Linked DNA regions of Arabidopsis thaliana. The protein of the gene in region 3 interacts with the protein of the main gene of each other region in a pairwise test. Each region holds a gene or a part of one and is shown on either strand. Other genes may lie near its edges.

Region 1 (8,002 bases), on a different chromosome or scaffold from region 3:
CAATGCAGCTCTCAAAATATCCATACCACACAAGAAGTTACTGAAGGAAGTTATGATGTCTTTGTCCATCAACTCAATCGCTGTCTTCCATCTGCTTCCAAAGTCCTTCACCAGTGGCTCTACTTCAGCAATTGTAATGGACCTCTCTGGATTTAAGCTCGAATCCTCAGCTGCCACATATCTTACAGTTTAGTGGTTTTTCAACTTAACACTCGATGAGTACGTGAAGAAAAGAAAGAAACAAGTTGCTTACAAGCTCGATTTTTCACGAATTTGATCAAATCACTGAAATGCTCCACCAGCAGTTCTTCCTACGAGTTAACATCAGATTTAAGGTTAGGCTACTACAAAGACAGTTTTATGTTATACCCATGAAGCAAATTACAAAGGTAACCTAGTATTTGCCCCTTACCACAAATAATGAAGTGTTACTCTTTAGCATTTCCTCAAAATGCATTTGAATTTTCCCACCTTCTGGTCCAGCTTCCTAAAATACAGGAAGATGATCAAAACAGATTCTTTTGGTAGGTCAGACTCAATTAGTTAAGCCTTGAGATTCGTAGAAAGCCATTTCAAACCAAGAAAACACTGGTCCACATGGGTGCACTTAACATGAGACGGCCAAGGATTCAACTCACCTTCAGTACAGCGATTGTCATATCGTAGTTATTTATGAGAAACACAATTTGCTGCTTTGGCCTTGGGAACAACTTTGCAAGCTTGAGAATCAACCCATCTACAGCCATTCTTAACCGCTCCAGATTTATATCAAGCTGCAGCGGTTCATATATAGTGTCAAGCGATTTGAGTGATGAGAACAGGTAATACATATCACTAGAGACAGAAGCAATCTTATAACGAACCTGCCCATCTCCATATTCAACGTTTAGGTGAATAAACGAAGCCGTGAATTCAGCATAACGCCTCATGACATAGTGAGGATGAACATCATCTTCCCATAATGTCTTAATGTTTGCATCTCTCAGACTGCTAAGGTGTGAGTCAAACACCATCTTGAAACGAGGCCACAAAGAAATATTAACCTGCTCAATTTCCAAAATAAAAGATTCATTGAGAGAGGACTATGAAACCTAAGGAAATCAAACCATAGCCGCATCTATAAGCTTATATCTAAGATCTATACAAGACCTTCAAAGTTATACCAAAAAGAAAACATTTAGCGACCAAGTGAAAACAGCTGAAGATGAGCACAATAATAATGAACTCTTTTTATTGCACCATACATATTTAAATGTTGATCAAACATAATAAAAGAGATAGAGAGGTATGAACCTTGTCCAGATATGAGTCCAGGCATGGAATTCTCCGGCGAGACATGATAAGCTGTAAAAAAGGTGGGAAAGTATTGCTTAACTATTAGTGGACATATAATACCATCATGACCCTTGCAAAAGGCTGGATCATGAAAATAAGTAATATAAGCTACACTAGATTATCATACTGTTGAGAAAAAATATAGACTGGTTGTAATACGCCTATGTGGACCAGTTGAAGGTATATCTACATCGTTAGTTTGCAAGATATTAAGAGAACTCTTTCCAATGCCAAGTTGATAAATATCTAACCATACTTCAATGCATTCTCACATATGTGGGAGACTAGAAAAGTTCAAAAGGGAAGAAGCTAAATAAATTACCTAATTCCAAGATATTCACCAAAACGCAGATAAACTAGTAGTTAGGTCATCGTTAATACCTGGTGGTGGTGTATTATGCGAATCATAAGCATCAGGCCAATAGCATCAAAACAGTTTGAAAGAACGGGATTGAAGTGCTCATCGATGACAGAAAATGGACCTGTATCATTTAAATTTTAGAATTTATCCAAAAAACTGCTACAATTATCATATCCATTGTAAAGTACAAGAGGTTCAGCTTTCTATCCGGAAGAAGAGAAGATAATTTCTTACACGCTGCTCAACACCATATCAAATTTGGTATACCAGTATTACAGGAAAAACAGATGTTCTTCTACACAGCTAACAAAATCCACAAAGTTTGGTACAGCAAAAGGAAGGGAGACAGATTAGAAATTACCCGCAAAAATTTCATAGAATATGGACTCTTCACCAAAGAAATCATCACAAAACATATACCTGTTAAAATGAAAACAAATGACGTTAACCAGGGGGTTGAGCGATGAGCGACAATAACACAAATATAAAAGGGGAAAAATCAACAGAACTCAGAAGTAGCTGTATCCATAAGTAGCTTGTGCAGGCTCCTGAAGAGCACTTCATAAGGATATTTGAGAGAGCTGGCTTCGGCTATGTGCGGGATCAAAGCAGGTTGATCAATATCCTACAGCGGTCATACTGAAACTTAAGTCTTTTAACGAATATTGTTAAACCAAACAAACTTTGGATTTACTTCTTCTATAGCAAAAAAAAACAAATTGATACCACACTAATCCAAATTGAAAATGAGAAAAACAAATCGAAACTTCCATCTATTTGAGGAGCCTTTAAAATTAAGGATACATATCGTAAAAACCAAAACTGAAATGAACCAAAATATTTGATTCCTATAATTTATAACCTAAGACTAAAATATCTGAACCAAAACCAAAGTGGGCACTCCTCAATAAAACTTATGGTGTACAATACATTAATATAACTTATACTTTATTTGTAAAGACGCAGACCTAGTACCATCTTTTGTATTAAAGAGTCAGAAGAGCAACTCATTTTATATAACAAATTCGCCAGAGCATGTAGAATGGTCGAAAAAATCAATCAAAAAATGATAACTGCTGAATGATGCATACCTTTATAATTTTTATCCTGTCACCCAAAGCAAAAACGGCAGAGCGGTTCTTTAGTGGCTCCCTAGCTCTTGAGAAGAGGCCGGTGGTTCTGGTCTCTACCCCAATTAAGTCATATGCTGTGGCTATATCTAACTGTAGTTTCTCAAGTGCTTGAATATAAGCACGAAAATGTGCACTTAACACCTGAAACAAGATCATACAATACATAAGGTGTAATAACATTTAAAAGCCTAAGCTAGCAAACAGCATTTTTATCTAACCAACTAGCTTTGTCCAATTATAGTTAGAAAACAAGAATAGAAGAATTACTTGCATGTAACGTACAATTGGATGTTGTATCCACTACCTTGCATATGCGGAGAATAACCTTAGTCAAATCTATCTGTGTATTCTTCCTCATTCAACTAAGACTATATAAAGGAGTTGCAGCATAGTGTAAGAAATCAAACAAGATAAAGAATATCACCTTGTTCATGGTATCAATGTATGCAGCACGAACATCCATAAACACTTCTTTTCCATGTTCCTTGAGGAAGGAGATAATATACCTATCATTAAATTGTAATTGGTGAATGAAGTATGTATCCACATAAGTCTTGTAGAAGCAATATAATATCAAGTTGGATATCAGTAACATGTAAAATAAAACAACTCCGTCAACATCACAAAGGGAAAATCCAAACCAAGATAACTAACCAAAACGTTTGTAAGGTGATGACCACATACACATGCAGAAAAAGTTAACAGAAACATACATGCAAGACAGGAGACGTTGTACAATTTGTAGTTTCACTACGTCAAAACCAATTAAAGGGGCTTGGAGAGCATAACTCACTTGTACTTTAATAACACACTCTGTTGAAGAATCTGAATGTTTGTTTTGGGTTTCCTCAGGGCTATAAGCTTCTGGACAATAAAATCATACACCTGCAAAACGAATTTAAATCTATTGCATGAGAACAAATTTAGAATGCTCCATCGACGTGCAGTCGTGCATGCCCTTTCAGCATTGGACGAGAACAAACACAAATGACTTAATACAGAACTAAAAGTTGAATTTATCGCAGATGGCAACTTTTTCCTGGCCATAAATTCTTTCAGAGGGAAGGAACAATGATTCATCTCATTGAGGTAGAATAAGTTGAGTTATATCAGGAACTTAACTTTTCTGTAGTTTTTTATCAAACAATTAACAACTTTAAGAAATATGCATGTATCAGTGTGTTTTGAGAGTCAATAGGTACAGTTATGTTTGGACCTATCACACTCCCTTCAGCGAAATATATAAGTTTTTGGTATCAAGTAACAGAGAAAGTAGATCAATAACCTTGGAAATAGCTTTCTGCCGAAGCTTTTCGAGCTCAGGCTCTACATCTTTTAACGCTTTGGAACTTTTAACTGCCTGATCTGCTTCTACAAATTTTAGCTTCTTACTCAGAATTTCAAGCGTTTTCATATACTCTTCATTCACCTGAATAAGGAAAATAATACGACTATCAGATTAGCAATAAAAATACCCTCAGCAATCCAACCTAGGCTTAAATGCACCACTATGGTTTTACAAAAAAAACACGTACTCAGGGGACATAAAGATAGGACTAAATGGTGTAAGAAAACAAAATGAAGAAAATTTAATAAATTTTAGTATTGCACATAGGGGAAGCATATACCAAGCTTAACCAGAAAATGTTGTTTTTCTATTTTTCCTCCATGTTTCAGATTACAACATATGCACCAAATCAGTAATTCTTATAGCACCAGAAACAAAAAGAAAAATTAGACATGTATACAACATGACGAGATCCTACAAAATTCCTACAAATCTCCAACCCTACCAAAGCTACATAAAAAGTGAATTTGAAAAATACCTCTCCGTCAACAATTACATCTATCATCTTTGGTGGCACTATAATGTCTTCGACAAATTTTGCTAGCTTTGATTCAGCCACCTATTCAAATAGAAGAGTTCATTTGGATGAGTCACGAGTGAAAGCAGCAAGAGATAATACCAATAGTGGTTTCTGATTAGCTATACCCTGCGGTTTTTCAATCTCAAACCCATGTCCATTGACTTTTCTTGAAGAATCTTTATGTCTGAACTTATAGAACCAATCTCTTCCTGAAAGAAAAGAAGCAAAGTGCACATTTAGATTACCAGGAAAAAATATATGTATTTCAAAGTAAAAAAATTCCTCCCATTAAGCAAAAGTCAGAATAAGGAGAAAGAAGCACATACATACACACAAATTATATAAATGTCTAATTTTCAAATACCTGAAATCCACTGAGAAGAGTTTCCATTTGTGACAGGATGCTGTCACAGTCACGAATCTGATCGTGAAGTGAGACTAGGTTGTCACTTTCCTTTATGTAATCCTGAGTATTCATGGAATGTAAAGCATTTAAGTTAGTTACTTACGATATCAAAGAAATTCCCGAACTTATAGACGGAAGTACATAAAAAGTAGAAAACAACAAGTGCCACAATGTAGCACAGGTAGAGAATAACAACCTCGATTGAATCCAATTCAACCTTGCGTAGATTGTTTTCAACCCCTTTTGCATATTCTCTAAGTTTGTCACCACTAGACAGTATATTGGCAACAACCTGACATTTCACACAAACAAGATAGAAAGGACATCATATCCATGGATCTAACATTCTATGATCAATCCATGTACTCCAAAGTAACTCAAATGAGAGTAGAAACAATACTTCGAAAAAGAAGAACCGAGGTGCTAGCTTTATAAGTTTGATCTCAGTTAAGTGAATAACTTACCTCATCACTTTCACATTCTTCAAGTTCTTGTTGAAGCCCTTCCAATGAAATATCCTCACTGCCAAACAAATCAAAGGAGAGCATTCTAATCAGAAGAACAAAGAGAAGCAGAAACATATGTTATAGTCGAATTAAGATACAAAACATGAGAACGTTACCTGCCTGAATCTTCTTCAAAAGCCAAGTCTCCAACAAATGCTCCTAAATCAAATCCAAGTTTCTCATGATTACTAAAGTCCCCCATAGTTTGGCCCTATGAATTTCAGATAGAAGAGCAAAGCGAATTAGACAAGAGATCATAAAGGATCCATGATTAAGGCTAGAAGATCACGAATGCAAAAAAAATGAAGTACCAATGCGTCAATGGAAATGTCGGACATCTTCCTAATGAGATTAAGAGTTGAAAGATCTTCAACTAGAAAACGAAATCAGAATCCTCGAAATCAGTTTGAGTCCGCCATTAGAGAGTCTTCTTCTTCTTCTTCTTCTTCTTCTTCTTCTTCTTCTTCTTCTTCAGCTTCACCTTTCTCAGATTCGTTCGTCTTCTCTAATCTGATTTTTAATTTCCCAATCAACAATAAAGGCCCATTGGGCCGTTAAAAGACTTATATATAAAACAAACGGGTTAAAATATGGGTCGCCCGATAAAACCCGTTTTGATAAATCATAAAACCTCAGAAGTCGGAAGACCTCAAGTGATGCTTTTTACTCGAGACAGAAGAAGATGATGAAGCAAGCCCGCTCTTTGCTCTCCAGGTTACTTCAGTTCCTCTCAAAATTCAGATTTTAGATTTCATTACTCTTAAAATGGCTTCTCTGGGTTGGTTTGTTTTTGTTAAAGCAGGAGCCTTTGTGACCAAAGTAAGTCACTTTTCGAAGCTTCGACGTTGCGTGGTTTTGCAAGCTGGTCAAATTCTTCAACCCCTGGACGTGGATTCCCTGGTAAAGGTAAGAACTTGGTTTGTTTCCGTTTCGTCAGTTTAAGTGTACTTGCCCTAATTTTGTTTGCTTGATTTGAGAAGATGCCGCAAAGCCTAGTGGTCGATTGTTCGCACCTTATTCTATCTTCAAAGGAAAAGCTGCTCTCTCTGTTGAACCTGTTCTTCCCAGTTTCACTGAAATCGATGTAAGCCCAAAATCCATTTCTTTTTAGTTTTGTGTGTTCTCTTTAAAGGCTTCTTTTAGATTCTCATTACTTACTGTGAGTACAATTGTTTAGTCGGGAAATCTTCGGATAGATCGTCGTGGATCCTTAATGATGACTTTTATGCCTGCTATTGGTGAGCGTAAGTACGACTGGGAAAAGAAACAGGTATTGATCTTTTTCACACTCTCTATCTTCTTCACTTGTCTCTTCTTTCTCCTCTGATAAATTTGGTTTGTTTCCTACATTATTGCAGAAATTTGCTTTGTCACCTACTGAAGTTGGATCCTTAATTAGCATGGGTTCCAAAGACAGCTCCGAGTTTTTCCATGACCCTTCCATGAAATCAAGGTTTGTCTTTTTTTGCTTCAATACATTATATTTTTATCGCAGCATTTTCATGTTCTGACATAGACTTGTCTTTGACTCCTCAGTAATGCTGGTCAAGTCAGGAAGTCACTGTCAGTTAAGCCCCACGCAGATGGTAGCGGCTACTTCATCTCATTGAGTAAGGCTTCTATCAAATTAACATGGATAATCAGTACTGAAATACTTAGTTATGGGAGCTTTCTGTTTAGTAAATTTAGAAGCTTGCACTTGTATTAGTTTTGTAATATGGCGATAACAGTTTTCGCACAGAATAGCTGTCTTATAACAATAGGAATGCTGAATTCTTAATGCTGTATAAACACTTACCTTCTGCGGTTTTGTTGCAGGCGTTAACAATAGCATCCTCAAAACCAATGACTATTTTGTGGTTCCTGTCACAAAAGCTGAATTTGCAGTGATGAAGACAGCTTTTAGTGTAAGATAAGATTTTTATTCTGCGTTCTCTATATTCTGTTACTATTATATCAGTTCGAGAACCAAAAACATTGACTAGAAAAACCAAGGGCATTGCTTCTCTGTCAGTTTTAGCACATGAATCTGGATCAAGTATATATTCTTCAAGGGATATTGGTGATTGTTTTTTAACCAGATTTTGTATTTTGTGCAGTTTGCTCTTCCACACATCATGGGTTGGAATCGGTTAACTGGTCACGTTAATACTGAAGCTCTGCCGTCGAGGAATGTTTCTCATCTAAAGACTGAACCACAGTTAGAGCTGGAGTGGGATAAATGAAATGATGAGAGTAGTAGGAACGGAGTAAATTGAAAATGCATGTGTTCTTTTTTCTGGCATTTGGTGCACACGAAACTCGGCATGCTCTGTTTTGAAACTAATATGTCCTCTCTAAGACTTCTAAATCATGGGTCTTCTTGTTTTCATTAGCACATATGTTATTTAGTA
Region 2 (7,771 bases), on a different chromosome or scaffold from region 3:
TTGAATTGGCGATAAGAAGATTATTTAGGAGAAAGAAACTGAGGGCAGAAGCAGACAAAACGAAAGAGGGACGGTTACATACAGTGGGAAAGAAGAGATGTGGATTGTTGTGCCTTCATAAATGTCTACTTGTGGAAGACTAAGCAGTAAGTTAAAAGAAACGTGAATGATTTCCCCTGAAACGATGGTTACACAACACTCCCTTATTCACTTGGTTTTCGGGTTAAAGTTAGAAAAATAAAAGAGGTGGCCCAGCTTTGGTGCATTGAGAGTAGCAGAGTTATTAAATGCTTCGCAGAATTGCAGTTGCACATTCACTCCCTTCTTCTTCTTAATCTCCTTACAGTTACAGACATTCTCTCACTTGCGTTCTTGTTTCTTTTACAAAACAGATACACTATGTTTCCGAGAGAGTCCCTCTGATATTGGCCTGGTTCACTCAGATTCTCTTTTACTAACTCATCTGATTGAGCCGTGTCAATATCTCAGTCCTCTCTCGTCGCTTCTCTCGTATTTTGAAGTTTGCCTCGTTAGGTCACACCACTTGTTTTGTACACACGATCGAGTTGTTGATATGGTGTTGTTGTCTTTGTGTACTCATCGATCACTCAATATATACACATATATTGTCTGTTGCCAAGAACAGATGGACCTTTAAGGTAACAATCTTGTAGATATAATCGTTGATCGGATGCTCCTTTCTCCTTTCTAATTGATTTTTTTTTTAAACTATATATATAGAGATTTCGATGCAATCAACACACACTCGTATTTTTATATATTTTAAAAAGATGCGATGAGCCCCTCCCTCCAAGCTATCACATCAGACAGCAAAGAGAAAGGAGGGTCATTTATTGATGATTACATGCGGAAAGGATGCATTATTGAAGAAGAAGGAGACGAAGAGATAAGGAAAGATGTTTGGTGAATGGTGAGTCATCAAGCCTTTGTAGGAAGGCCATTCTTGGCCCAGGCACTATAGCCACCGACGATATCTTTGACTCCCGTGAAACCCTGCAAATTCGCAAATTATATATCACCAACAAAGTAAAAGTCAGAAAGAAGAGCTTTGTGGTGGAGCTTACTGCATGGAGAAGATCGGTGGTGGCTTTGATAGATCTACCACCGCTCTGGCAGCCAACAATGATGTTATCGGATTGTCCGAAATGGGAGGAGACTTGTTCCAGGAAGTCGGGGTTCTTTGACATCCCTGTTTCACAATCACAAAATTATATCCATCACTCAGTTATCAACTAACCAAATAAAAACATACCTGATGCTCCTCGATTCATGTAAGGCACGTTGATCGCCCCACAGGCATGTCCCTGGCTGAACTCTTCTGGAGTCCTATATTCATCATCCCCATTACATCAAGATCCTAATGATGCTATGTTGATGATTGAAATAGTCAAAAGAGAAAGGTGGGGCGGTACCTGACGTCTAGATAGCGGTGGCCGGCTAGAAGAAGGTCGTGGGCGACTGTTACCGACACCGATGATGGGACTCTGCTCTCCTCCGCCATTTTTTTCAATGGCTTATTATTATATTTGACTGGACAAAGACTTCAATAATTTCATTTTATATAAATTAGTTGGGAAAGTGATTATAATTGGGCCATATATTACAAATACATAATGGGCCTAAGTTGCTGCTTTATGGGCTAAGCTGTTTTCGGACTGTCCTTCATATTTTCATATTACCATTCCAAAACGGCATCATTTTAGCTAACCTCGTCTTGGGTTTACTTGATGAATTTTCAAAAGGTTTAAGGCTTCTGAATGCAATTATTCATTAGTAAAACACCCTTTACACAATTCTTACCATTCTTCGTCAGTCGATCAGATCAACGTTTTACCGTCTCACTGATCGACGGGAAAGAGACGACGACGTTTTTAACCTTTGGGTTGAGATCCGATCCAATATTTCGAAATCGTGATTCCTTGTTTGTGACCTCTCTCTCTCTGCCTCCACACTCTTCTCTAATCCCTCACCTCAAGGTAAGCTTCTTCTCTGGCACTGATTACATTCAAATCTCTCTTCTCCTTGCGTTGCTTTTGCTGGTTTATTCGAATTTCACGACTTGACTCCTTTCTCTTTTGATTGTTGATTCAAATCCCGATTTTGCGCTTACTAGTTGTCGTCGCTCTCTTGAGTGTCTGGGTTCATCTTTCTGACATCTGCTCTGCCAAGATGTCCGAAGACAAGGAATCTGATGTGGTTGGAGAAGAAGAGGAGAGCCATGTGATCAAAGAAGATAAAGAGTTAAATGATGCCTCCAACGAGACTCTGACAGAAAATGGTGATCAGCTACTCCAAATGATTGCTGAACTGAGATTAGAAAATGACTTTCTCAGATCCCAATTTGAGGGACTCAAGGATGAGGTAGCGCAAGGTAGGTCTCTCCAGAAAGCTGAGCAAGTGGAAGCGGACTCTGCTCAGCTGAAACAACTTCAAGAACAGGTCGCATCATTGAGCAGAGAAATTGATGTGGAAAAACAAACTCGAGTTGCAGCTGAGCAAGCTCTTGAGCATCTAAGGGAAGCATACTCTGAGGCTGATGCTAAATCCCAAGAATACTCCTCTAAGTTTTCCCAAGGTCAGAAGCCATCTTTTCTATTTGCTCATTCATTGACCGGAACCAGTGTTTGCCTTTTCTCAACTTGTGCTATTACATTGTTGGTGTAGTTGAACAGAAACTGGACCAGGAAATCAAAGAGCGCGACGAGAAATATGCCGACCTGGACGCCAAATTCACCAGGCTTCACAAAAGGGCTAAACAACGCATTCAAGAAATCCAAAAGGTGAATGTCTTTCTCTACATTTTATAATGCTTTCTGTTTTAGCCACTTTGAGGCTACTGTGAGTTTCAAAAACCATCTTATACTATTTCGGAATTTCTATGCTGCATTTTCAGACATATAGATTTCGCTGCTATGTGCTGTCTTAATCTCAGTGGTATATTATATTGCTATCTTCAGGAAAAAGATGATCTCGACGCCCGTTTCCGGGAAGTGAATGAAACAGCTGAACGAGCATCTTCTCAACACTCATCCATGCAACAAGAGCTGGAACGCACTAGGCAACAGGCGAATGAAGCACTTAAAGCAATGGATGCGGAGAGGCAACAACTAAGGAGTGCCAATAACAAGTAAATAATTCGAAGATAATTTTTACAGAAATTGTATAAAATGAATGTCGCCTTTCCCACTTCTCCAGCTACCTCTAAGAATTTGAGTACTGGAGTTTTCTCTTTACACAGGCTCAGGGATACTATCGAGGAACTACGTGGCTCATTGCAGCCTAAAGAAAATAAGATTGAGACATTGCAACAGTCACTTCTTGATAAGGACCAGGTTTGATCTCTTTCATTTTCTGTAATACTAGTCTGCAATATATAGAAAAATAGAGAGACAAAAGAGACAGAGAGAGAGAGAGAGAGGGGGGGGGGGGGGGGGGGGGGAGGGATGGCTCTGTATACTCTGCTTCATATGCGTACTTGCTTTAATCCTAGATTCTGGAGGACCTGAAAAAGCAATTACAAGCTGTGGAAGAGAGAAAGCAAATTGCAGTTACTGAGTTGTCAGCCAAGCATCAAAAGGTAGTCAGCATCAGCGATTGTGTTACTTCTTATATGCTATGAGCCACCATTTTCCGCTAATGACATCCAAGGTTTTCTCTTCTCTCCACCTTCTTGACAGAACTTAGAGGGTTTGGAAGCACAGGTCGTAGATGCTCTATCTGAGAGGGACAAAGCAGCCGAAACCATTTCGTCGCTGCAGGTTAGTCTTTTGACTAAATTCTTTAGTTCTATTACTGGATGATGTGCTTTGGTTTTCAAATGAGCGAGAGAGAATAGTTTGAAATAAGTGATAAATTCTTCACACCAAGTATACACCTCTTTTAGGTACTGCTTGCAGAGAAGGAATCTAAAATTGCAGAGATGGAGGCAGCTGCAACTGGCGAAGCAGCAAGGCTAAGGGCTGCTGCAGAAACTCTTAAAGGAGAGCTTGCACACCTTAAATCAGAGAATGTAAGTGGAATGTTTAAAGATGGATTCGCAGGACTCTCTGATGCCAACTGTCATTTGTCCTTCGTTATTGTTGCCCATTCGTATATTCTAAGACATTGTTTTGCATACTACTCGTCAAATGATTTCCATCATTTAGCAGATTTACTAGCATGGTTTTAACCAGGGAATGAATATAGGAGTGCGTATAGATAATTGTAAACATGATCTAAGGCGTCAGTCTGTCATCAGACAGCATGTTTAGAGTTTCTATTTGTTTGGCCATATAAATTCCTCTATTTTCTTTTGTTGTAATTCATAGAAGCCATGATTTTTTTTTGTTCCTTTAGGAAAAGGAAAAGGAGACTTGGGAAGCTTCATGCGATGCCCTTAAATCTAAACTGGAAATCGCTGAAAGCAACTACTTACAGGCCGAAATCGAAGTGGCTAAAATGAGAAGTAATTGACGGAGTTCATAAACGTTGAACTAATCTAGTTATGTTTTACTTTTGTCTATGGACTATAGACATTTCATTCATATAAATTGTCAGGTCAGCTGGGATCTGAAATGTCCATGCAGACCCAGATACTAAGCACAAAAGATGCGGAACTCAAAGGTGCAAGAGAAGAGGTACATAGTTTTCTTTTGGTTCTTTTGGAAACTATTGTAGCCTTGGTTAGGTGAACGAATTTATTAGTCATCCATTCTTAATCACATAACGTGAATTATTATGGAATCAAAGAGCCATTTTGAGCTTTAAGGAATGTTCTGCTTTAGCTAGTCTTCATTTAACCATATTGAATTCCTTGTAACTGTTCACAGATCAACCGGCTCCAAAGTGAATTCTCTTCTTACAAGATCCGTGCTCACGCGCTTTTGCAAAAGAAGGACATGGAGCTGGCTGCAGCTAAAGACTCTGAACAAATTAAATCTCTTGAGGAAGCTCTAAAGGTAAGTTATCTAGAATCTTAAGATGGAGATATTTTTAGATGGTTGCCAAGGTGCTTACCAACTAATTATCTTTTTGGGTGGTGTTAGGAAGCTGAAAAAGAAGTATATTTGGTATCTGCAGAGAGGGATAGGGCACAGCAAGATCTTCAGAGTGCTTTGGCTAGCCTTGAGAAAGAACTTGAAGAGAGGTATATATTGACACTGAATCTTTTTCATGTTTGATTCCGGAGGTTGGCTGCTCATTCTCCTCAATTTGCCAGAGAAAACAACTGAGAAATGGTGTTCTCAGGGGACTGGTTATGGAGTTCTTCAGACATATATTGGTCGTCTGAGCTATTTTTGTTTCATATATATTTCAGAGCTGGAGCACTTAAAGATGCCAGCGAGCAGATCAAAAGTCTTGAAGTGAAGCTTGACTCCACTGTTGCTCGCAATCAGGCGGAGAAACAAGCTTGGGAAGAAGACCTTCGGGTTTTAGAAGAAACATGGCGACGTAATTGATTCAAATCTAAATTCGGTTTTTTCATTAGTTCTTGGAAATTGAAATTCCCTTCCTAAAAGGCTACAGTAATCTATAGGAAGATGTGAAGCTTTGACCGCTCAAAATGAAGCCTCACCTGCAGAAGGTATAGAAAAAGAACTAGAAAATGCCAAACTGCGGAATAAACGAATGAAGGTAAATCACTTTTTGTTATACTCATAAAAAAGTTTTTTTGTCTAACTGACATACCTGCAGGAGGAGCATGAATCAGTACGTGAGCTTGCAGATAGACTCATTGAGGAGAAGGATCGAGAGATATCGAGACTTGTGGATGAGATGACAAATCTTCGAAAATCTATGGAGTCAAAACCAGTAGTATGTGGATGGTTCTTTTTTTTTTTTTTTTTGCTTATTACCTTACTTCTCCTTTTTATCTTTGGTTTTACGCTAGTAACTTTTCATTTAATTTGCACTGAAACTTTTCACTCTTCATGTGGCATTAAGTGGAACAAATCTCCATCCCAGGTTCACCACTATGGGAACAACAACACAGGTACAAGATGTTTTCCTGATACCATATTTTTTTAATAAGGGCTCCCTATATGAATGAATCAGTGGGTTCCCTGTCATCAATAACCTATTATTTTCTTTAAACGGGGTTTCAGAGTCACAACAGCAGGATGTATCTAACTTGAGCACTTCTGCAGCAGAGCACCAGATTCTGGTAGGATTTTGTAATGTTAGCTGTCTGCTTGTGTGAGCAAGGAGCGATCTTTAATCCTAGAACTTAATTTCCTTCAAATGTAATGCTATGGCCTACGGGACAAATCAGTGAGAGCTAATCATGACACATAATAATCAAATTTCAGATATTGGCAAGGCAACAAGCTCAGAGAGAAGAAGAGTTAGCACAGACACAGCGCCATATTTTAGCTCTTCAGGTGTAGTAGAATTGGTTGCATTGATCTGTTTCTGCACATGTTGCAATTAGTAACTGTTTATTCTGAATCAGGAGGAAATCGAGGAGCTTGAACGAGAAAACCGTCTTCACAGTCAACAGGTATGTGATTACACGAGAGTTTGGTTGCTTTGCCAGTTTCTTAGGATCTTATTTCAAACTTCCGGTGGTATGCTAAATTACAGGAAGCAGTGCTAAAGACGGAGTTGAGGGAGATGGAAAGAAAACAGAAGAGAGAAGGCGTGGATATGACATACCTAAAGAATGTGATATTAAAACTGCTAGAAACAGGTTAAAAAACCTGGAGATTAAAGGTGGATTCACGAAGTAGATGTTTTAGGGGTAAATTAACTTGTGATAATTGCAGGTGAAGTGGAGGCTTTACTACCTGTAGTGGGGATGTTGCTGCAGTTCAGTCCAGAGGAGATCCAGAAGTGTCAGCAAGCCTACCATAGCTCAACAACAGCGGCAACAACAACAGAGGCGACTCCAAGTCCGGCAAGTGAGGGTTCAGGTCTATCAGTCTTCTCAAGATTCTCGTTTTCATAGTCGGGTGGGCACTGGACACATTCTTTTGGGCCAAGATACATACACATACATACGACATTGTGTTTAAGTCCTTCGTTTTTGTGTAATGAACACTAAAAGTCAAGAAAACACTTTTTGTCCAGATGTAAAGAAAGGATAAGCCACTGAATTGAGTTGTTGGGCCATTTTTAATGGAGTCTATTGTAATCATGCAGAAAACCGCTGATTATCGGAATTAATGAAACTAAAAAAGTCAACGCAAAATTAACTACAAAGATAGTATAATAATAACGGTCGTCGACTTGTTGTTATTGGTCAACCGTTATGTACGGAATCAATTTGAACGGGTCTCACTCTCACTGCCTTGAAGGCCATTTTAATTGAGCGGAATTCATTTCGCCTACTAGTTTCAAATCTCGTAACGAAGAAGGTGATTGGTTCTTCTTCCTCTTGCTGGAAGCCATGGTGAGTAGGCTCAAGATACACTCTGGCTTGCGTTTGTGGGAATTCCCTGATCAGTACGTCATCGAGCCAACCGATGGTTCCTCCGCTTCATGTTTGGATATTAGTCGTCTTGACGGCTCCATGAAGCTCATTGGTGTGTTTCCTGTTTTTGCCTCGTTATATTGGAATCTTTTTGTTCTCTTATGCATGTATGTGTAATGCATCCTCTTGCCTGTCTCAGATCAAGTAGCAGAATGCAACTCTTTGCGTGTCCCTAAAATCCGCTCCATTTTCGGTGTGGTTGGGATGCTGAAGCTCCTGGCAGGTGAAATTTCAGAGATCCTATCGAATAATTAATCTATTTGTGAATGTTTTCATCTTCATTTGAACCAAGAGCAAATT
Region 3 (4,874 bases):
TGATGACAATATAATTATGAAATATAGTGTCATTAAAATTTTCAAATAGCTTGGTTGGACTATTCAAAAATATGACAATACTTTTCAGCTGCAATGAAAGAAAAACAATCGTACAAGTTTCTGTTTTTTTTTTTCTTTTTCAAAAGGATATGTCATAAATTCATAATAAGTAATTACAAAAAAACTCATTCCACTAACTTAGTTCCATAAAATCGTTACGAGTGATTATTGCTGATTAAGTGAGTATACACATTATTTGGGATAGAATTGCTGAGTATACTCCAACTGCATTAACCCACCAGAGCTTTTTACGATGAGAGAAGCTTAATTTTAGGGACATGGTGGAACTGGAGAAAAATACCTGGGAACAGTGTGAGACTTTGAATTTAATTAGCTCATTTAAGTGATCTGAACTAACGACATGTGTACGAAATTAATTATCTGTTTCTTTATGGGTCAAAGATTAAAAATGCTGTGCTTCTTTCTCTATCAGACTATCACATGGAAAGACGAAACGAAATGAGAGTTTTTATTACCTAGCAGCTCACAGTTATACATAATTAAATTCATAGACCGACAAATCACAGTTTTGAGAAATAAGTAAACAAAAGTACTGAAGCAGCGAGCATTTGAAACTCCAAAGACCACAAAAGATCACAGTTAGGGACAAACCATAGCTAAAACAGAGTCTTCTTTAAAAACAATCCGATGAAGAAAAAAAGTTGAAAAACAGGCAAAAATTTTACAGATGGAAGACGATAACTGATCGAATCATGCAAAGGGGCTTGAGGACATTTTTTAGTAGTGTGTTTTGTTGTTCTCTATCGATTTGTTGTTGTGTTGTTGTTGCCAAATCTAACAAGAGCATCCTCCTGATTGCTGCTGAGCGAGAGATGCATTTGCATTGGAAGACTTGAGATTGACATCAACCATATCCTCTTGCTTTGTTGAAGACAATGTCTCCATTCCCGGCAAAGCTGCTGCTATCTTGCGGAAGAGCGCCTAGCAATACAAAAAGGTTTGAAATCATAAGAAAACAAGATTTGCACGGAGTGATAGCGTTATGGATTTGCGGTAATTGTTTAGAGAGTATCAGTGAAAGATCCATACAAATGAGGAGGATGTAATAATCAGCAGGTTGGGTTAAAAATTTATAAGTCTAGGTTAATTAACTATTGAATATTGATGGAACTAAACAAAGTTAGGGCTTAGTTGAACTAAGCAGCAAGTTTTTGTTGTGCAAGAAACCCTCAGAAATGTGTCAAGCCAAGATCTTTGTTACCTTAATGTTGAAGCCCGCTTTGGCACTGGTTTCGATGAACATTACATTAAGTTCGCGTGCCTTAGCTTCTGCTTCCTCTATTGACACTTGCCTGAGAAACAAAATATTTAATACAAAGGCCCAATTGGCAGTAACAAATGTAGTAGGCACCATCAAGTGTCAAAGCGTGTTGACTATAAAGAAACCCTGTAAAGATATGCAGTTGAGCAGCAAATGATTTTCCATTTATTATCTTGTAGGGTCGTTTGGCAACATACTCAATACCACCAGAAAAGTAAGACGTGGTTTAACAACAGTTTGTACTTGAGTAAAACAAAAAAGACACCCATTCGTCTTGTCAACATACTTACGAAATCAGAGCGTGTTTAAACAAGGAGGACTACCAAATTTCAGTCTCAATTGCTATTGAACAGTAATTTGCACATCATGGTTTAACAAGAAACAAGTAGAGGAAGAGATGGTAGATCATTATTACCTTTTGTCCACTAGATCAGTTTTGTTTCCCACAAGCACGACTATGACATCACTACCACGTTCTGTCCTAACCTCATCGATCCACTTAGTAGTGTTTAGGAAGGACTGCCTGCCTATATGTCAGTGGAAAACAAAATAAATCTCGAGTTTCACAACGCACAATGGATCAACATAAAGAAGAAATCGAAACGCATAAATTCATAAGATTACTGAAAACCACATCCCCAAGATCTCAGATATGGGAAAATATTCATGTGTTTGAGAGAACGAGTGAAGGTACACATACTTGCAACATCATACACAATAACAGCAACGGAGGAATCCCTGATATAGCTCGGAATTAGACTCCTGAATCGCTCTTGCCCAGCTGTATCCCTGTCATATGATTTCGGCTCTCGATGTTAATCATCAAAAAATGATCTGCAATGTTATTCTTCAGTATTCGAAAATTGAAAGAGGCTCAAGATCTTACCACAACTGAAGTCTGACCGTTCGATCTTCAAGGTACATTGTCTTTGATAGAAAATCAATACCAATTGTGGCCTGATGATTATGAAACAACATAAAAACTACTTAGAAAAGGAAGAACATTCTGTAAAATGACGATAAGCAAGCATGGTTCACATATTATTAGGAGCTTAAACGTAATTCTCATAATCACAGAACAAGATCAGATGCTTTCATTCATCAATTGAGAACTAATTCGATTAGATAAACAATGATAACATGATCAAAGAAACATCCTCATATTAGTGTTACTGCGATCTTCTATTGGACTGAATTCTCGACTTTGTACAATAAACGAGAGTGAGCGATTACGATGCCAAAATCTCATTCAGCTGATTGTTACGTCCTATACATTGACTAAAACACGATCTACAAATCAGATCACACATAATTACGCAAAACCAAACGCCCGATCACGTAAACGAGTAAGAACTTCGAACTGAAAAACACGATTCCCGTCCATGAAAACGGATCTCAAAATCAATCAAACCCTGGGATTTTCCCGACTATAATCCCTCAAAATAGAAGCAAACGTCGTGCATCGTCGAGATAATACCTAGATTTGAACAATGGAAATTTACCTGGTAAGTGTTGTCGAATTTGTCGTACATGAATCGAGTAATGATACTGGTTTTGCCGACGGATTGATCTCCCAGAAACACCAGCTTATACTTAGCGAGTGCCGAGACCGGAGCCATGATTTCTCAAGGATCTAACTCGCCGGACGGATCTGAGAAACGTCGAGATCTCGCTTTGCTGAGAATAAAAGTTTCCGATATTTACCGGAGAGAGATCCCGTCGCTCTGGAATTGCAAATACTGTATTAGTGAGAGTTTGTTATTCGTAAATTGCAGTTTATTCCTCGAGTGACCCAATTGGGTCATTTATGTTAAATTAGAAACTATTTGAGATAAGTTACAAAATATATAAAAACTTAGAAGCTGATTAAGGAATTTACTACATTATGGGCAGCATTTATAAGCCCACGTAAGGATTTGGGCTAGCCTTATAGTAGGGGGCACGTGTCATCTCGTATGACCTGAACTATTTTTGCCCCTTTTGGCTACTTGACTCTTCTGTGTCTCTCTCATCAAATCAAATCCCTAATTCTCGAGCTCGAAGAAAGAGACGAAAATGGCACTGAGAAATGCAATTCTTCGTCACCTGAGGGTTCCGGTGCAAACCCTAGGATTGAATCAGTCTAAAATTGGGTTCCTTGGTACGATCCGGTCATTTTCTTCGCACGATGATCATCTTAGCAGAGAAGCTGTCGTCGATAGAGTACTCGATGTTGTCAAGAGCTTCCCCAAAGTCGATCCCTCTAAGGTCAGCTCGATCTTCATAAAATTTGGCCAAATCGTGATTCTTATCTTTTGTTTTCCTCATTATTGGGAACAAAATGATTATTTTGCCTTGAATATTTGTCAATGTAGGAGCTTTTGGTTGATTTCGTATTGATCTAGTGGAAATAGAGACCAAATGTATCTGAAACGATGTTGCATTAGTGTTGTTAGTAAATTGAAGGTTATTGATCTCAATGTGGTTTAGTAAGTGTAGCTTATCGTGTTGTTGTTCCTATGGATTTGATTTGATATGGTCATTCTTATGGATTTTGCATTTATGAATCCTTCATCAACTCTCTCTAATAAGGGTTGTTTGGTTAGGGTTATTTTTGTTGATGGCTTTGTGATAAATATCGACAGGTGACTCCTGAGGTTCATTTCCAAAACGATTTGGGATTAGATAGTTTGGACACAGTGGAGATAGTGATGGCTATTGAAGAGGAATTCAAGCTGGAAATTCCAGACAAAGAAGCTGACAAGATCGATTCTTGCTCTCTCGCCATTGAATACGTTTACAATCATCCAATGTCTAGCTAATCGCTGTGTGCTCTCTCATGGTTTCTCCTTCCTTTTTCTTGTATGAGGTTCTTCTCTCTTTGATAATGCCATAATGGGATTTGCAAAAAAATCACTTTTATTTGGAGAGCATTGTTATTGACTCTTTTAACGGTTCCAGTTTCTTAAAAAGAAAACCTTTTTGCTTGAATCTTGTGAAAGTTGACACTTTTTCTTGAGTTAATACTTTAATACGATTTGTATATAATACACTTGATTCTTAGCATGGTCTTGATCATACATTGAAGACGAATCTTTGAAAAACATACTTGTTTTAAAAAACTGATCGTCTCTCTTGGATACATATGCAAGACCAAGAAATTGGATCTTATATACTACATTACATCATAACGTGCTATTAACTAGAATTGTTTGTCAGCCATCTTTTGGATCGAATACAGACAGTAGTTTTCATTTGGACAAGTTTTCTGCTTCATCTCAACTACAGCATTTGTACCAAAATACACCAATATCTCTATCCACAAGTTAGATGTTTTAATTAGGAGATACATTTCAGGTTTCGTTTGAATCGATTTTTTAGTAAATGGGACAAAATGGGTGAACTTACAATATTAAAAACTTGCTAAGCTAATTATGCAAAATGGATAGGGTGGAAGGAACAAAGCAAGATGCTGAAACCGCAACAGCAATGAATCTTGTAAACACATTGTAGTGATATTGATCATAATGACTAAAGAAAGACTAAATAAACA

Evidence for each region.
Region 1: the proteins of RAB6A (region 3) and POK come close enough for resonance energy transfer, tested with the Arabidopsis thaliana proteins (one study listed by BioGRID).
Region 2: the proteins of RAB6A (region 3) and ATGRIP interact in a two-hybrid assay, tested with the Arabidopsis thaliana proteins (one study listed by BioGRID).

The regions. Positions count from the first base shown.
Region 1 is NC_003070.9:26,861,681-26,869,682, reverse strand, and holds the start of POK (Vps52 / Sac2 family), read right to left. Parts: upstream 6,097-8,002; 5' UTR 5,948-6,096; coding exon 5,921-5,947; intron 5,821-5,920; coding exon 5,726-5,820; intron 5,626-5,725; coding exon 5,568-5,625; intron 5,396-5,567; coding exon 5,300-5,395; intron 5,164-5,299; coding exon 5,062-5,163; intron 4,907-5,061; coding exon 4,823-4,906; intron 4,737-4,822; coding exon 4,656-4,736; intron 4,259-4,655; coding exon 4,115-4,258; intron 3,715-4,114; coding exon 3,623-3,714; intron 3,336-3,622; coding exon 3,254-3,335; intron 2,971-3,253; coding exon 2,788-2,970; intron 2,322-2,787; coding exon 2,206-2,321; intron 2,117-2,205; coding exon 2,058-2,116; intron 1,818-2,057; coding exon 1,717-1,817; intron 1,345-1,716; coding exon 1,294-1,344; intron 1,044-1,293; coding exon 864-1,043; intron 774-863; coding exon 639-773; intron 488-638; coding exon 413-487; intron 312-412; coding exon 254-311; intron 171-253; and 1 more. Other genes in the region: ATWHY2 (WHIRLY 2), read left to right, coding at 6,292-6,323, 6,412-6,515, 6,590-6,693, 6,787-6,879, 6,968-7,062, 7,146-7,219, 7,428-7,516, 7,709-7,834. UniProt on the Arabidopsis thaliana protein: Acts as a component of the GARP complex that is involved in retrograde transport from early and late endosomes to the trans-Golgi network (TGN). The GARP complex facilitates tethering as well as SNARE complex assembly at the Golgi.
Region 2 is NC_003076.8:26,404,308-26,412,078, reverse strand, and holds ATGRIP (Golgi-localized GRIP domain-containing protein), read left to right. Parts: upstream 1-1,723; 5' UTR 1,724-1,997; intron 1,998-2,134; 5' UTR 2,135-2,190; coding exon 2,191-2,596; intron 2,597-2,685; coding exon 2,686-2,801; intron 2,802-2,978; coding exon 2,979-3,148; intron 3,149-3,259; coding exon 3,260-3,353; intron 3,354-3,511; coding exon 3,512-3,598; intron 3,599-3,698; coding exon 3,699-3,779; intron 3,780-3,904; coding exon 3,905-4,030; intron 4,031-4,356; coding exon 4,357-4,465; intron 4,466-4,557; coding exon 4,558-4,637; intron 4,638-4,829; coding exon 4,830-4,958; intron 4,959-5,045; coding exon 5,046-5,146; intron 5,147-5,317; coding exon 5,318-5,451; intron 5,452-5,536; coding exon 5,537-5,634; intron 5,635-5,694; coding exon 5,695-5,814; intron 5,815-5,943; coding exon 5,944-5,992; intron 5,993-6,104; coding exon 6,105-6,163; intron 6,164-6,308; coding exon 6,309-6,380; coding exon of another isoform or gene 6,381-6,386; exon of another isoform or gene 6,387-6,451; coding exon 6,452-6,499; and 7 more. Other genes in the region: STR16 (sulfurtransferase protein 16), read right to left, coding at 940-1,014, 1,086-1,210, 1,274-1,347, 1,434-1,522; ATSAC1B (Phosphoinositide phosphatase family protein), read left to right, coding at 7,388-7,523, 7,611-7,694. UniProt on the Arabidopsis thaliana protein: Golgi matrix protein playing a role in tethering of vesicles to Golgi membranes and in maintaining the overall structure of the Golgi apparatus.
Region 3 is NC_003071.7:18,410,923-18,415,796, forward strand, and holds RAB6A (Ras-related small GTP-binding family protein), read right to left. Parts: upstream 3,232-4,874; 5' UTR 2,962-3,231; coding exon 2,845-2,961; intron 2,300-2,844; coding exon 2,229-2,299; intron 2,132-2,228; coding exon 2,043-2,131; intron 1,870-2,042; coding exon 1,758-1,869; intron 1,374-1,757; coding exon 1,283-1,373; intron 1,003-1,282; coding exon 856-1,002; 3' UTR 502-855; downstream 1-501. Other genes in the region: MTACP-1 (mitochondrial acyl carrier protein 1), read left to right, coding at 3,398-3,589, 3,967-4,143. UniProt on the Arabidopsis thaliana protein: Protein transport. Regulator of membrane traffic from the Golgi apparatus towards the endoplasmic reticulum (ER). Binds GTP and GDP and possesses intrinsic GTPase activity.